4 linked regions of the Callithrix jacchus genome follow. The protein of the gene in region 4 purifies or fractionates together with the protein of the main gene of each other region. This does not show direct contact. Links are inferred from orthologs where the notes say so. Each region holds a gene or a part of one and is shown on either strand. Other genes may lie near its edges.

Region 1 (3,744 bases), on a different chromosome or scaffold from region 4:
AAAGTTTGATATTGCAAAGAAGACTTCTAAAAATGTTGTACTATTTAATATTCTCACAGAATATGTGAATATTTGTTTTTCCATATCCTCACCAACTCCAAATATAACCAATATTTGTCTTTTCTAATTGTATAAATAAAAAATTAACTCATTTTTATTCTCAATAGATCTCAATTCTGTGAGTATATGCTATTATTCCCTTCTTTCAGATGAGGAAGCTCAGGCTCACAATGTGTACCTGACAATTGATTAATTGATGATTCTTCAGGCAGCACAGCTTCCTGGTAACACCAACATGAGGACTGTAGGACAAAACATTAGTCTTTTTTAAGAAAAAATTTAATCATTTTCCTCAAAAAAACTTCTGATACAACAACAGTTGTTGTATTAGAACTGCTTTCACTTTAAAAGCAGTTGCTATATGCTGGGCACTATTCTGAGCACTGTACATGTATTAACTCATGTAATTAAAGTAATTTTATCTCTGTTTTTTCTGACTATAAGAAGATAAAGGTTGCCCAGCACAGTGGCTCAGGCCTGTAATCCCAGCACTTTGAGAGGTAGAAGCGGAAGGATCACTTAAGCCCAGGAGTCCGAGACCAGCCTGGGCAACATAGAGAGATCCTATCTCTACAAAAATATTAAAAGACTAGCTGGGCATGGTGGCACACACCTGTAGTCCCAACTACTTGGGAGTCTGAGGTGAGACTCTTGTGTCCAAGAGTTTGAGGCTGCAGTGAGCTGTGACCGTGCCACTGTATCGTGGCACTCCGGCCTGGGCAACAGCGTGAGATCCTGTCTCAAAAAAAAAAAAAAAAAGAGAGAGAGAGTAAAGTTACCTTAAAAAAAAAAAAGAATATGGAAGTACGGAGAATAAACAGTAAAAAATGCATTCAAAAATCTCACTCTTGTTCCAAGGTATTTTTTGTTTCACAACTGCTGCCAAGCACACTCTGCCCCTCAACAGCTAAGGACCAGATTGCAGATGACATGGAGGCTAGGGGAGGGAGTTATCCTGGGAGTGGAAGACTGGAAGAGACAATTCTCAGAGAAAAAGTAGAAAAGTTCAGTAGCTCTAGGAAAAGAGGTAGCTCCTCCCTAGTAATCAGAGTCAAGCAAATAACATTTTCCCCTTTGGGATAGGAAACAATAGAAAAGACTGACAGGGCCAAATGTATAAGTAGGGGGCGGGGAGGGAGCAGAGGGTGGGCCCACTTCTGCCGCGCTTTTGGTGGGAGTGGAAATTAGGGACCCGAGCTCACTGGTGACGTAGATCTCATGTGACCAGGAGTCGACGTGTGCAGAAGTCCTGCTAGTCTGGTCCTTGTTCCAGCCTCCTTCAGCAGTGCAGACGGTGGTACCTGAGGCCAGTGGAAGGAGTCAAACTTGCTGGAATTTTGCAGGTTAGTGTGAATGTACTTGTTGACTGGAGATTTCTAGCGTGGGCGGTTTAGGGCAGAGACTGTGGGAGTGCCAGTCAGGTCCGTCTCTCCACTCTCCACCTCCAGGTCTACAGGAAATGATGACCCTTGGGAAGGGGACTAGGAATCCTAGGAGAAGAACAAGGAGACTTGTGATAGTTTATAAAAATAATCATCCTCTGCTATCTAAGACTGCTTTTCGGATCCGCACCCTCCTCCCGAACCCCGCCTCAGTCTTAAGGATAGTTTGGAAATAATCTGCTTTCTCACTCTTTGTCTAATGGTTAAAACGAACTAACATGCACTGTGGAGAGAGGGCGAACTGGGAGAAACAAAAGGTGGGAAACTTTCCATAACCGAAACCCTAAAGGAGGAAAGCTATGTGTGTCAGTTTCGGGTGCCGGTCAGCCCACCAAGGGCTCTCCCCACCTCCACCGTCCCCTCCCGTTTCCCGTTTGTCTGCAGGTCTGTGTTTCTAGCAAGACCCAAAGGTAAAAAAGCAGAAGGAAGAAACTGACCCGGTCAGTGCCAGGTAGGTGAAAGGAACATTATAAAGTCTCCTGGGGTAGAGACAAAGGTTGTAAGCTCCACTGTTCCTGCCGGCTCCCTTCCACCCCACCTCATTTCCCTCTTTTTTTCTCTCCCCTTTCTCCTTTCCCCTCTTCCTCTACCTGCCAGCCCCCTTTCTCTTTTCTGGGCTGGTCCGTGTATTAGGCCCTAAGGGGGAAAAAGGATTGGGGAGGGCTGGGAGGCAGAAAGAAGGCGGTGCAAAAGGTTAGAGGGAAGGAAAAGAGAGAAGTGCAGAGGTGGAAAGTGGTGGTAAGAGGAGTAGGAATAGGGAAGCTGTGATTGCTGACTGGACTTCTTAGGTGGAAGATATTTTATAATAGCTTTGAATAAAAAAAAATGCTAAGACCTCTGTCCATGGCACGTGTCCACTGACCAAGTGTTTAATCTTTAACTTACTGTCTTCTTTTTGCTTTCTAGAAGTCATTGTATTCAAAGAGGAATAAGAAAAAAAAAAAGGAAAAGGAAGATACAAGATGAAATCCTGTCAAAAAATTGAAGGAAAACCAGAAAATGAGAGTGAACCAAAGCATGAGGAAGAGCCAAAACCTGAGGAAAAGCCGGAGGAGGAGGAGGAGCTAGAGGAGGAGGCCAAAGCAAAAGGAGCTTTTAGAGAGAAGCTGATTCAATCTCTCCAGGAATTTAAAGAAGATATACACAACAGGCATTTAAGCAATGAAGATATGTGTAGAGAAGTGGATGAAATGGATGAGATAAGGAGAGTCAGAAACAAACTTGTAGTGATGCGTTGGAAGGTTAATCGAAACCATCCTTACCCTTACTTAATGTAGTTTACCTTAACTTGTATCTGATATTAACAATACCATATAGCTTGCTTTTTATTAGCATTTTCCTCATATACCTTTGTCCATATTTCTACTTCTAACCTGTTGCTGTTAATGATTTTAGATGTATCTCTTATTATCTGCATCTCATTGTTTATCATATTTTGAACCAATCTACAAGTCTCTGTCTTTTGGTAAGAGAACTTTACTCATTTGTAAAAACAGAGGTTCTTGGTAGGATATAAAATGGAAAAAGGCTACTAAGTAATATGTGAATATCTTATTTTTGAAAGGTAAAGAGTACATTTGTATATTACATATATGGACATAACTTGTGAAGGATGAAAGAAAGTACAGCCTCTCGGTGGAATTATGAATGACTTTTCTCCTTTTGCTTATTTGTATTTTCTATATTCCTAAAATTAACACGCATTGTTATTGCTAGAATAATAAAAGTTTATAACAAAAAGAAGCAACAAGAAGCACTTGCTAGTTTATTTCTAAAAGTATTGGGGCATTTAATATTTGTTGACAGAATTTTAGAAGAAATGTGAACTTCAAAGTAACACCGGACCGCTTAGCCAGAATAATAAATTTTACCTATTTTCTCATCTTTAAAATAATCTCACAAGAATTTTGTGAGGGCCAAATAAGGTAATGACTGTGAGCTATGTTTGACAGGGTATTGTTCCCATCGCAGCTCTGTAAGAGATTAATTTTGGCGATTTGGAAGGGTGAAGAAAGTAGTTATTATCTGTGACTAAGAACAAACCCAAACAACCATGAGGTGGGTGCCACCTTTATGTTTCTTTCCTGATATGCCTGCCCAGCCTCTCATGCCCCTGCCTTGGATACTACCATATACACTGGGTTTTCTGTCCCTTCTGCTGGGTCCTGCACCTTCAGGCCCCTATCACTATGGATGTGCTAGAATTCTCAAGTATATTACAACATATTTCTTTGGCACCCCC
Region 2 (4,104 bases), on a different chromosome or scaffold from region 4:
CTTCTAAAGTATTTCTTCACTTTTACAATGGTAATATTACTACTTTATACAGTTATCTTGAGGTTTGAATATGGTACATAGGCCGGGTGCGGTGGCTCACTCTTGTAATGCCAGTTTGAGAGGTCGAAGTGGAAGGGTCTCTTGAGTCTAGGAGTTCGAAACCAGCCTGGGCAACATGGTGAAATCCCATCTTTACAAAAAAACGAACAAACGAAGAAACACCTCAAAATTAGCCAAGAGTGGTGGCGCATGCCTGTAGTCCCAGCTACTCGGGAGACTTAAGTAGGAGGATCGCTTGAACCTGGGAGGTCGAGGCTCCAGTGAGTCGTGCCACTGCACTCCAGCCTGGGTGACAGAGCGAGTTCTTGTCTCAAAAATAAAATATTTTAAAAATGTGATTTAAAAAGCATTTGGTATATAGTACATTCAATACCAGCTGTTTGTTACTGGTAATGATAAAGTGCGCCTGCCCTTTTGCTAGCACGTAACGTCTTCATTGGGCTAAATCAGCCCGGATTCTAACCGTTTCTGCGATCATTGACTCTGTAGGGCTGAAGCCCTAGATCAATGGTCAGAGGCCAGCAGGAGGTGCAGCGGTCCCGATCAAATGCCATTTCCCTCTCTAAAAGTACTCAAACCCTCCTCTCTGCCCATCCCCGCCACCGCCTACCTCGACGCGGACGAGAAGCTGTGGCACCACGACTGCTGGGAGGCCATGACCACGCGCAGGCGGGCAACCAGCACCTGCGGCCTGGGAAGCTGTGGTAGTGTACAGCCCGTCGCCATGGCGACCAGGCTCCAGCCGCCCTGCAGCGAGGGCGGAGTCAGGGATGCGCCCCGCCCCCAACCCCAGCGCCCGGGGGCTGAGAGGAGAATAAAGCAGCAAAGGTGGTCTGGGACCCGGCAGCGGGTGCCCTGAGAGTCAATAACTACAACCGATTTGACCCGAGGTACCAGAATTGAGGCTGGGGGATGAACAGAGTCTATGGGGTAGGGAAGTGTGCCTAGAGGCCGGAGACGCTTTGCCGGCGGGAATTGTAGTTTTCGGTGTCCCGACGTCTCAGTGGGACAAGCTTATGGCTGAGGAGGGTTGTACTACATCTCCCAGAACTCTCTACCAGCCCGAGTTGCTCCGCCTTTCAAGAGCTCTGGATTGTGGGATATGGAGTTCACAATGTGGCAAGGCATGGCAGTGTTCAAAGAGAGGTACTGGATTCGGACTCGGTTTCCCTGCAACCACGGGAAGCTCACGGGCCATTGGCTTAGCGGGGCGGATCTGGTCTCGCTTCTCCCCGCCCCCATGACACAATAGCAGCTCCCTCCAAGATGGCGGCAGCGACGGCAGACCCGGGAGCTGGGAACCCACAGGCTGGGGACTCCTCCGGCGGGGGCGCTGGGGGCGGGCTGCCGTCCCCCGGGGAGCAGGAGCTGAGCCGGCGCTTGCAGCACCTGTACCCCGCGGTCAACCAGCAAGAGACGCCGCTACCGCGCTCCTGGAGCCCCAAGGACAAATACAACTACATTGGTCTCTCCCAGGGCAACCTCCGCGTCCACTACAAAGGTATCGGCCCGTCAGGCTGCGGGGAAACAAGGCTGGAGAGCGTCTGTGGGGTGTCTGCTGCCAGGCCCGTTTCCCATTACTTCCCTTTCCCTGCCTAGGTGCTCCAGGTTAGGCCTTGGCCCTTTCAGAATGTCCAGGGTGATGAGGCTGACCGGGCCGAGGGTTAACTGCTTGTTTTCTGTCCTGAGACACCTGCTGTCAAGAGAACCGCAACAGGTGTCCAAACCCAGTGCTGGGCCGGACCTTCCACTCCAGGGCTTCCTTGCTTATCCTAGGCTGTCTCCAACCCCAGCGGGACCCTTCGCCCCTGCTTAGAAGAAAGGGGTGGTCACATCCCTACCATTAGCCTGAGGCTCATGGGCTTACCCACCTGCCAGGCATCCCTGACTGGGTCTGGGGTTCCGTGCTAGAGTTTGGGGCGTGTCTTCCAGGTCGGCCTCCTCCCTTCCCTGGTCTCCCAGGTGGGCTTTCTGGATTCTAAGAGGCAACCAGCAGCACTTGGGTATCTCTCATATTGCCTATACCCTTGTTTTGTTTGTATGGACAGTGTCTTAGGCAGGACTACTATTCTCAGGAGGAGATGAGGCAAAGGTGGAAGGTTTATGTGTTTACTCAGTTGTCTAATGATTCCTTGGACTGTGTAAGTGCTTCCTCTGGCCACAGAGGAGTGGAGTTGCCATGGAGGATCTGCAGAAGAATGAGGCTTCCATTTGCATTTCCTTCTGCTGAAATTTCTTGCTTGCCCTCTCCTGTTAGGTCATGGCAAAAATCACAAAGATGCGGCCTCAGTGCGTGCCACCCACCCCATACCTGCTGCCTGTGGCATTTATTACTTTGAAGTGAAGATTGTCAGCAAAGGAAGAGATGGGTAAGTCTCATGACCACCCTCTTTCCCCTAACATGGAACTGATCCCTGTGGTCAGAGTTCAGGTCCCTTGGCTGGCACTTGTTGCTGATATGAGCTGTTGAGCTGCATGGGTCTGGGCTGCCTCTGTTTCCTGACTGTGGGCATGGTCTAGTCTAAGCAGCAGATCTTGATGGAAAGTGGGTGTGTTGGGGGTAAAGCAGGGGTTTCTTTTCAGTGGTGATATAATTTGATCCTAGAAGATTAGGCAAACAAGTAATAAGTTTACTTTAAAAATTTTGTGTTCAGAATGGAGTTTCCCTCATGAACATATGGTGTTTTTGTGACTTCCTTCCTTTCACATTCTTGCTGTACTCATGAGGTTCTTTTTTATGACATTGAGTCATGTAGAGGCCCTGGTAGCCTTCAAAGGGATAGTAGAGTCTTTGCAGCATTCATGAAAGCTGTTGTGGCCACTAGCTTGTCATCTCAGGGTAAACAGCATACACATGGTCAGAATCAGGTGACCTTGCTGCTCATAAACTTGTTTTTCAGTCCAAGGACTTGAACAGTACTAGTTGGACCAGCTTTAGGAAGGTCCTCATTAAAGTTAGCATTAGGAGCCAGGTGCGGTGGCTCACGCCTGTAATCCCAGCACTTTGGGAAGCTAAGACAGGCAGATCATCTGAGGTCAGGAGTTCAAGACCAGCCTGGCAAACATGATGAAACCCTGTCTTTACTAAAAGTACAAAAAAAATTAGCTGGTGCATGTAATCCCAGCACTTTGGGAGGCCTAGGTGGGCAGATCACGAGGTCAGGAGTTCGAGATTAGCCTGGCCAACATAGTGAAACCTCGTCTCTACTTAAAATAAAAAAATTAGGCCGGGCACGGTGGCTCACGCCTGTAATCCCAGCACTTTGGGAGGCCGAGGCAGGTGGATCACGAGGTCAAGAGATCGAGATCATCCTGGTCAACATGGTGAAACCCCGTCTCTACTAAAAATACAAAAATTAGCTGGGCATGGTGGCACATGCCTGTAATCCCAGCTACTCAGGAGGCTGAGGCAGGAGAATTGCCTGAACCCAGGAGGCAGAGGTTGTGGTGAGCCGAGATTGCGCCATTGTACTCCAGCCTGGGTAACAAGAGCGAAACTCCATCTCAAAAAAAAAAAAAAAAAAAGAATACAGAAATTAGCTGGTTGTGGTGGCAGGCACCTATAATTCCAGCTACTCAGGAGGCTGAGGCAGGAGAATCACTCGAACCTGGGTGGCAGAGGTTGCAGTGAGCTAAGATCATGCCACTGCCCAGCCTGGGCGACAGAGTGCGACTCTGTCCCCCTCTCAAAAAAAGAGCATTAGGGAGACTTCCTATTTTAGGGTGATCCAAGCAGACACAGAAAATCATAGGGGAGATATTTAATTTTTCTTTTTCTTTCTTCTCCCAGTCTCCCTTTTTTTTCCAGTGATTGCAACAAAGCAGGTGTTTAAGTTATGAAATAACATGACTGCAGCTACTTTAGAAAGGCTTTCCTCGGCCGGGTGCGGTGGCTCACGCCTATAATCCTAGCACTTTGGGAGGCCAAGGGGGGTGGATCACCTGAGGTCAGGAGTTTAAGACCAGCCTGGCCATCTTGGTGAAACCCCATCTTAAAAAAAAAGAAAGGCTTTCCTCATCATACTTTAGGTTTGGTGTTGGAAA
Region 3 (4,057 bases), on a different chromosome or scaffold from region 4:
AGCGACCAACAGAAGGTGGCCTGGCCAGGCTGGATCCCCTCCCCTCCTCCGCAGAACGGATGGAAAAAAGTTTGCTTTCTTTTTTTTTTTTTTTTGAGACGGAGTTTCATTGTTGTTACCCAGGCTGGAGGCTGGAGTGCAATGGCAACGATCTCGGCTCACCGCAACCTCCGCCTTCTGGGTTCAAGCAATTCTCCTGCCTCAGCCTCCCGAGTAGCTGGGACTACAGGCGCGCACCACCATGCCCAGCTAATTTTTGTACTTTTTAGTAGAGACGGGGTTTCACCTTGTTGACCAGGATGGTCTCGATTTCTTGACCTCGTGATCCACCCGCCTCGGCCTCCCAAAGTGCTGGGATTATAGGCGTGAGCCACCGCGCCCGGCAAAAAGTTTGCCTTCTTTAAGCATCACTTGATCTTTCTTTCTTTTCTCTCTCTCTCTCTCCATTCTTTCCTTCCTTCCTTTCTTTTTTCTTTCTTTCTTTCTTTCTTTTTTTTTTTTTATGGGGACGGAGTATCACTCTTGTTGCCCAGGCTAGAGTGCAGTGGCGCGATCTCGGCTCACCGCAACTTCTGCCTCCCGGGTTCAAGTGATTCTCCTGCCTCAGCCTCCCGAGTAGCTGGGACTACAGATATGCGCCACCACGCCCGACTAAGTTTGTATTTTTTGTAGCGATGGGGTTTCTCCATGTTGGTCAGGCTGGTCTCGAACTCATGATCTCAGGTGATCCACCCGCCTCGGCCTCCTAAAGTGCTGGGATTACAGGCGTGAGCTAGCGCGCCCGACCATCACTTGATATTTCAAGAGAGCACTGCGGGCACAGTCCAGCCGCCGCCCCTCACAGCCCGCGCCGCTCTCAGGGCTGGCAGCGCGGGAGACGTAACCACTTGGGGATTGGGACCCGGGAGCCAGGCACTGACTGGGTCTAGTACGGGGCCGAGGCCGCCTCTGCCAGGTGGGGAACCCGCCTAACGGCGAGGAGCGGTCGGGACCAGCAGCTTCCAGGCCGGAGGGACTCGGCACTAGGAAGCGACCGGGCGTGGTTTCCCTGGCCTCCGCCAGGCTCCCGCAGGCAACTCCACTCGGCACGCGCGGCGGGGAGGCTCGGCGGCCGGGCGCAAAGCCGCGCGGGCCCGTGGGACGGCCACCCCTCCGCGAAACGTCAGTGGGCGGGCCCGGGCCGAGGATCAACCGCCGCAGCTTCCGGTTCCGATGACAGCGGCGCTGGAAGCCGGGGCCAGGGCTACTGGGCGAGGTGAGAGCGGGCGGGCTCGGGGGCCGGCTGGTGCGGGCGGAGGGCGGGCGCGGCGGCCGGCAGAGCTGAGGCGCACAGCCGGGACAGCTCGGCCGGCCTCCCAGGCCCCAGCCTTCTCCGGAACCCCTGGTATCTCCGACTAAGCCCCGAACACTCTGCCCCTGGGCTTGTTCTTTTTGCAGTTGTCGGTCCCGGGCCGGGAGCTGGAGTCCCAGACTCATAGGTCCCGGCCCAGCCCTCGAAGAGCCGCCTCTGCCGGGGTAGTCGCTCGGCCTGAGTCCAGTCGTCGTGCTACGGCGCTGGGTCGGAGGTGAGCAGGTGCGCACAAGGCTCAGCAGGGCATTGGAGCAGGGTCTTTGGAAGGATGACTGGGAGTTTGCCTGTCGTTTGCATGTTAATGCGGGTGAAACTCCCAGTAGGCGCTGCAGTCCAGGGACAATGGTGGGCTTTTTCCTCCCTCCAGTTTTGGTTAATGATAAAAGAAAGATTAGAAACTTCAAGTATGGCTGTGTAGTAAAAAAATGAAGAGGGCGACAGGACAGGTTAACTGGTGTGAGGGTGGGGCAGAGGGGTGGTCAGCATTAGATACTGTGGTCTACTGCACAGCATCTTTGAAGATGTGACATTTGCGTTGAGACCCAAATTAGGAGGCAGTCACAGGAAGATATGGGGAGAGAGTGGTCCAGGCAGCGGGAACAACCAGTATGAAGGCCCTGAGGCAGATATTAACTGGGAGTAGTCAAGGAACAGAAAGCAAGCTAGTGTGACTGGAGTATGGCAAGAAAGAGAGTGGTAGCAGATGAGGTCAGAGAGTTGCGGTTTGCTCACATAACATAGAGCCTGTAGGTGGTAGAAAGGAACCTGGAGATTTTTCTAAGTGGAAAAATCTTTTGGTTTTAAGCAGAGGAGTGACATATAGGGTAGAGAATGGATAGAGGTGGCGGCTGTAAAAGCATAAGAATTGGCTGGGCACAGGGGTTCACGCCTATAATTCCAGCACAGGAATTACAGGAGGCCGAGGCTGGCAGATGGCTTGAGCTCAGCAGTTCAAGACCAGCCTGGCTAAACATGGGGAAACCCTGTCTCTCCAGAAAAATTAGGCTGGGCACTGTGGCTCACACCTGTAATCCCAGAAGTTTGGGAGGCCGAGGCAGGAGGATCACTTGAGACCAGGAGTTGGAGACCACCCTAGCCAACATGGTGAAACCCCATCTCTACTAAAAATACAAAAATTAGCTGGGCATGGTAGCAGGTGCCTGTAATTCCAGCTACTTGGGAGGCTGAGGCAGGAGCATCGCTTGAAACTGGGAGGTAGAAGTTGCAATAAGCCAAGATTGTGCCACTGCACTCCAGCCTTGGTGACAGGGCGAGACCGAGAGGAGACTCCCTCTCAAAAACAAACAACAACAAAAAAATAGCTGGGTGTGGTGGGGAGAGAGGGGAAGAATTGGGACAAAAAGGAATACATAAATAAATACAAAGGAGAAAAGGCCCTGCATGTACTAAGTAAATGTGTCATGAACTGGGAAGCGTTCGTGGCGCCTGTAATCTCAGCTTCTCGGGGTGGGGGGCTAAGGTGAGAGGATCACTGTAGCCCAGGAGGTCGAGGCTTCAGTGAGCCTTGATTATACCATAGCACTCTGGCCTAGGCAACCGATTGAGACCCTGTCTCTCTCTCTCTCTCTTTTTTTTTAACAACCATAAAAAAAAAAAAAAAAAAAAAAACCTCTGCCTCAAAAAAAAAAAGGCATTAAGAATTGGGTCAATGGAGGTTGTCTAATCTTGTCAGACAAAAGGGACCTTTATGATTTGCTCAAACTTCCTTTCTCCCTGCCCAGGAGCCCCTCATTTCAGGATGCTGAATACTCCAGGAAAAACCTCCATGCATACCTTGGTGGGGATTTTAATATTTCACTCATGTCTCTTTCTGCCACCCCTACACATTTGAGCTCAGGCTCTCTAGGCCAAAGTTAGGAAACGGATGTGTCATTTAATCAGCAAATGTTTACTGAGCACCTATCATGGACCAGGCCCTGGTCTGGGAACTGACGGGGAGAAAGAACCAAACTACACTCCAGCCATTGAGCAGTTCACAGACCAATGTGGGAGGCCAAGGTGGACAGGCTGTTACTGTGCTGCAGTAGTTGAGGACTCAGATGGGTGCGGTATGGCCACTCTTGCCAGGTTATGAAGCAGAAAAAGAGGCTGGGAGATTTCACTGAGGGCTCAAGGGGAGGTGATGATTAAACTACAGCTTATGCGCTCTATACAAAGAAGTACAGAGGGCACTCTAAAAATAGGAACTTGTACAAAGGAAGCAAATATATAATTGGAAAGGGCTTACATGTCAACCCATGGCAGTGTGGGGCAAAAGGTAACAGGATCTGGTGTTTGTTGTGGAGGGTTGTCCTGGTGGATAATTTCTGTATATGTGGGACTTTGGGAGGAAGGCTTAGGACAAGTGAACATGAAATTTTAATCATCAGCACTTGTATTAATCATGAAGTTTGTCAAAGACAAATACAATTCCTTGTGCCTGATGATTGATTCAGGCAGAGTGGCTTGCTCTGGACAGACTGAATTAACCTCCTGGACTTTTTGGATAGAACACTCGCAAACAGTTCTGTTTTCTCAGCTAATTTATTTTATTTTTACTTCGATTTTTTTTTTTTTTTTGAGATGGAGTCTTGCTCGGTCACCTAGGCTGGAGTGCAGTGGTGCAATCTCAGCTCACTGCAACCTCCGCCTCCCAAGTTCAAGCAGTCCTCCTGCCTCAGCCTCCCAAGTTGCTGGAATTACAGG
Region 4 (3,513 bases):
AAAAAAGTAACAAATCAAGGTAGGTACTGGTCATGTTTTCCTCTGTTCCAGGGAGTAGAGGGAGATAGGATAAGCAGTATAGAAGTGGAGAGTAGGGGGTGATATGGAGAAGCAGCTCCCAGAACACCTATGAAAGCAACAGGTCTAGACATCAACTCCTTGTTTCTTTGGAAGAGGGTAGCATTTGAATCACACTTATGGGCAGATGTTAATGAGGGCAGAGAGAGAGAGCAATGTCTTGTAATGCATATGCAGGGCTAGCTACTTTGGAAGCCTGGGTGATTTTACTTACAGGACGAGTAGAGAGGAGATTTCTAAGAAGTCCCAATGTCTTCATCAGCACATTCAAATCTGAATCTGATAATAACCGGAATAGCTGTTCAGTACTCAAGCTTCGTAAAATATCTGCTTTTATTTTTTGTTCAGCCTGAAATGCCATATTCTGAAAGGATTAAAGAAGTTGCAAGAGTCATGTCTACATTTACTTTATTAAATTATATTTTAATAGTAACTGATAACTTTCAAAGTACAAACAGAATCTGCAGAAAATCTTTAAGGATAAATCCCTCTATTTTCCTGATTCTTGTTAATCACCTATATTTCTGTCTGTCAAGAGAAGGGTAACTGTTACTCCTAAATATACTTCTACATGAGGAATATGACCACTTTCAGGCATAGGCATTTGAATGTCTTAAGATTTCTCAAATAAATACAAAACTCATGTATCACTTTCAAGAATATCTTTGGCCGGGCGTGGTGGCTCAAGCCTGTAATCCCAGCACTTTGGGAGGCCGAAGTGGGTGGATCACAAGGTCAAGAGCTCGAGACCATCCTGGTCAACATGGTGAAACCCCGTCTCTACTAAAAATACAAAAAATTAGCTGGGCATGGTGGCACGTGCCTGTAATCCCAGCTACTCAGGAGGCTGAGGCAAGAGAATTGCCTGACCCACGAGGTGGAGGTTGCAGTGAGCTGAGATCGCGCCATTGCACTCCAGCCTGGGTAACAAGAGCAAAACTCTGTCTCAAAAAAAAAAAGAATATCTTTATGGTTACCAGGTTGCCTACTGTATGTACACAAAATGACTATTAATGATTATACTGTGCCATGCCTTTTGAGAATGATTTCACAGTACTTATTTATGGAAGAAAATAAGCAGTGGGTTTGTTAACTTTACTGGCATGAAAACATCTATTGTGTTCACAATACTATGGTAGGTGTTGGCATGGCTGGGCTATATTGCACAGGAAGCTCTCCAGAGGGTAGGAGGTGTATCTGAGCTACCAGTAATCCCGGGTGGCCAGTGGCTATTTTGCTCCTTTTTCTCTAATTTGTATCATGGGTTAGCCCAGCTGAATCCCAAGCTATACATGTCTGAAGAAAACAAAAATCATGGTAAATGCCAAATAACTTATATATCAACTTTTGATACAAAAGTCTCTTGTATAGCCAGGCATAGTGACCCACGGCTATAATCCCAGCTACTCAGGAGGCTGAAGCACAAGAATCACTTGAACCCAGGATGGTTCAAGGTTGCAGTGAGCTCAGATCACGCTACTACACTCCAGACTGGGTAACTGAGCAAAACTCTGTATCAGAAAAAAAAAATATTGTAAACTAGAGACATAATATGTGGTTGTTGCCCTCCAGGAACTTATTAAAGTGCTAAGACATTAGAGATCAAGTTACATAATGATGTGAGGCAGCATGGCAGAGCAAAAAGAATACTATGTATCAAGAGACCAGGCTAGAGATGATTCTAAAGTTTTATATTTTGCAGATAGAGAACACAGTAGCTGGTAATATGGAGACTGATGAGAATTAAATAGTTTGTACAGATTAGAAGAGTGGAATAGGTTCCATTTCCAACATTAAAATTGTGCATGTCGGAGAGGCCATTTAAGTGATAGACTGGCGGAATAGGCAATAGTTACATCTGGATATGTAGATTTTAAAGTAACCTATTAAAGGGAAGTTGAAACCATGATATGAGATGAAGTCCCTGAAACTGATGTAAAGAGATTTGGAAACCAGATACTGAATGGGGGAATGTTCCCAGAGAAGAGGTTGAAAAGGAAGCAAGGTAGAAACAGTTTAAAAAAAAAAAAAAAAAAGTCCTCCGAAGAAGTTTCAAGAAAGAGAAGTGCTAAAAGCTGTGCAAAGTTCAGGAGAAAAATAACTGTGAAACTACAGATTTGTTGCTTTCTTAGAAGATAATTTATTTCTATCCCAAAGTCTGTACAAAAACACAGCAGATACAGCATGGAACAGGGAGAAAAATACAGGCTTGGAAAAGGTTCTGAACCCATTTCCATTATTAGCTGTGAGGCCTTCACCCTCACAATTCACTTACCCTCCCTAAGTCCTAGTTTTCCATTTGTAAGGTGAATATATACCAATATATCTTAAAATAAGAATTAGAGATAAAGATAAAACACCCAGCTTAATGTCTGGTACACAGCAATTAAATTGTACATAGAATAAATATGTTTTAAAAATAAATTTAGGATTATTCTATTTTCAATTTCAAGAAAAGTTTAATAATCTTAAAGAGAAACAATTCTCTAACCTCATAAAATTTTAGAATCTATTATAAATTATTTACTAGAAACTGTTAAAAAAATTAGTAAGTCTCTATGCAGCAATTTTGTTACCTCGGACAAGTTATTTAATCATTCTGCAAAAAATGGCTAAGTATGTGGGGTAATACATATGTAAATTAGCTCAAATTAGCCATTCCACAATCTATACATCTTTCAAAGCATTGTGTTGTACATTATGAACATATATAATTTTTATTTGCCAATAAAAAAATAAAATAATTGTTCTGTGTCTTAGTTTACTTCATCTATAAAGTATGGTAAGAACTTCCTGGCTGACATCATAAAGTTGTTCTGCAGAGCAAAGGAGACATGAAAGTGCTTGTCAAGTAGGTAGCACTACACATAATATAGTATGTTCATGATGAGGAAAATGTATTTTCCCAGAATTAGATAAGTTTCAACATCTATTCACTTTTCTTAATAATAAATAAGAGAACAGAAGCATAACTTGCTTAGAGTTAAACCACGCTTACAGTTGAACCTTAGTTCAGTACTAAGTCTTCTAGGTCTTAGTCATCAGAAAACTAGAACAAAATAGCAAGATTTTTGAAAAATAAAATTCCAGACATTTTAAATAACACATTATTTATAGTTCTAACTAATAGCTCTATTCCTTTTGTAAATTATGATATATATAAAAGTGAAACGTACCATTAAAGCCCAAATTCCATTCACTCGTAAAGCAGGATTTTCACTCTGGGTCAATCCACAAAGTAGCTCTACAGCTCCTGATTCCAAAATTGGCTGCCATTGGACAGGAAAAAGAAATCCCAGCTTTAAAGTCAGGTTCACAAACTAAATGTGCATATGCCTTGGCACTTTGCCTGTGATTTCTTCCCCACTCTTACCCCAGTTCTAGGCAACTTTTGCAAAGCAGGGAGTGATGCAGCCATAAAAATCATATTGAGAA

Evidence for each region. Proteins that work in one complex are often made in the same cells at the same time.
Region 1: the proteins of ARMC8 (region 4) and TCEAL9 purify together in Homo sapiens (affinity purification with mass spectrometry; 3 studies listed by BioGRID and IntAct, with this or other methods). This does not show direct contact. The link is inferred for Callithrix jacchus from reciprocal best matches to the Homo sapiens genes ARMC8 and TCEAL9.
Region 2: the proteins of ARMC8 (region 4) and RANBP10 purify together in Homo sapiens (affinity purification with mass spectrometry; 5 studies listed by BioGRID and IntAct, with this or other methods). This does not show direct contact. The link is inferred for Callithrix jacchus from reciprocal best matches to the Homo sapiens genes ARMC8 and RANBP10.
Region 3: the proteins of ARMC8 (region 4) and RMND5B purify together in Homo sapiens (affinity purification with mass spectrometry; 4 studies listed by BioGRID and IntAct, with this or other methods). This does not show direct contact. The link is inferred for Callithrix jacchus from reciprocal best matches to the Homo sapiens genes ARMC8 and RMND5B.

What each region holds. Positions count from the first base shown.
Region 1 is NC_133524.1:99,429,069-99,432,812, forward strand, and holds TCEAL9 (transcription elongation factor A protein-like 9), read left to right. Parts: upstream 1-1,300; 5' UTR 1,301-1,403; intron 1,404-1,886; 5' UTR 1,887-1,953; intron 1,954-2,408; 5' UTR 2,409-2,464; coding exon 2,465-2,779; 3' UTR 2,780-3,242; downstream 3,243-3,744. UniProt on the Homo sapiens protein: May be involved in transcriptional regulation.
Region 2 is NC_133521.1:25,329,154-25,333,257, reverse strand, and holds the start of RANBP10 (ran-binding protein 10), read left to right. Parts: upstream 1-1,302; 5' UTR 1,303-1,326; coding exon 1,327-1,561; intron 1,562-2,317; coding exon 2,318-2,429; intron 2,430-4,104. Other genes in the region: TSNAXIP1 (translin-associated factor X-interacting protein 1), read right to left, coding at 671-786. UniProt on the Homo sapiens protein: May act as an adapter protein to couple membrane receptors to intracellular signaling pathways.
Region 3 is NC_133503.1:70,672,620-70,676,676, reverse strand, and holds the start of RMND5B (E3 ubiquitin-protein transferase RMND5B), read left to right. Parts: upstream 1-1,255; 5' UTR 1,256-1,573; intron 1,574-4,057. UniProt on the Homo sapiens protein: Core component of the CTLH E3 ubiquitin-protein ligase complex that selectively accepts ubiquitin from UBE2H and mediates ubiquitination and subsequent proteasomal degradation of the transcription factor HBP1.
Region 4 is NC_133518.1:46,057,220-46,060,732, forward strand, and holds part of ARMC8 (armadillo repeat-containing protein 8), read right to left. Parts: intron 3,348-3,513; coding exon 3,255-3,347; intron 443-3,254; coding exon 293-442; intron 1-292. UniProt on the Homo sapiens protein: Component of the CTLH E3 ubiquitin-protein ligase complex that selectively accepts ubiquitin from UBE2H and mediates ubiquitination and subsequent proteasomal degradation of the transcription factor HBP1.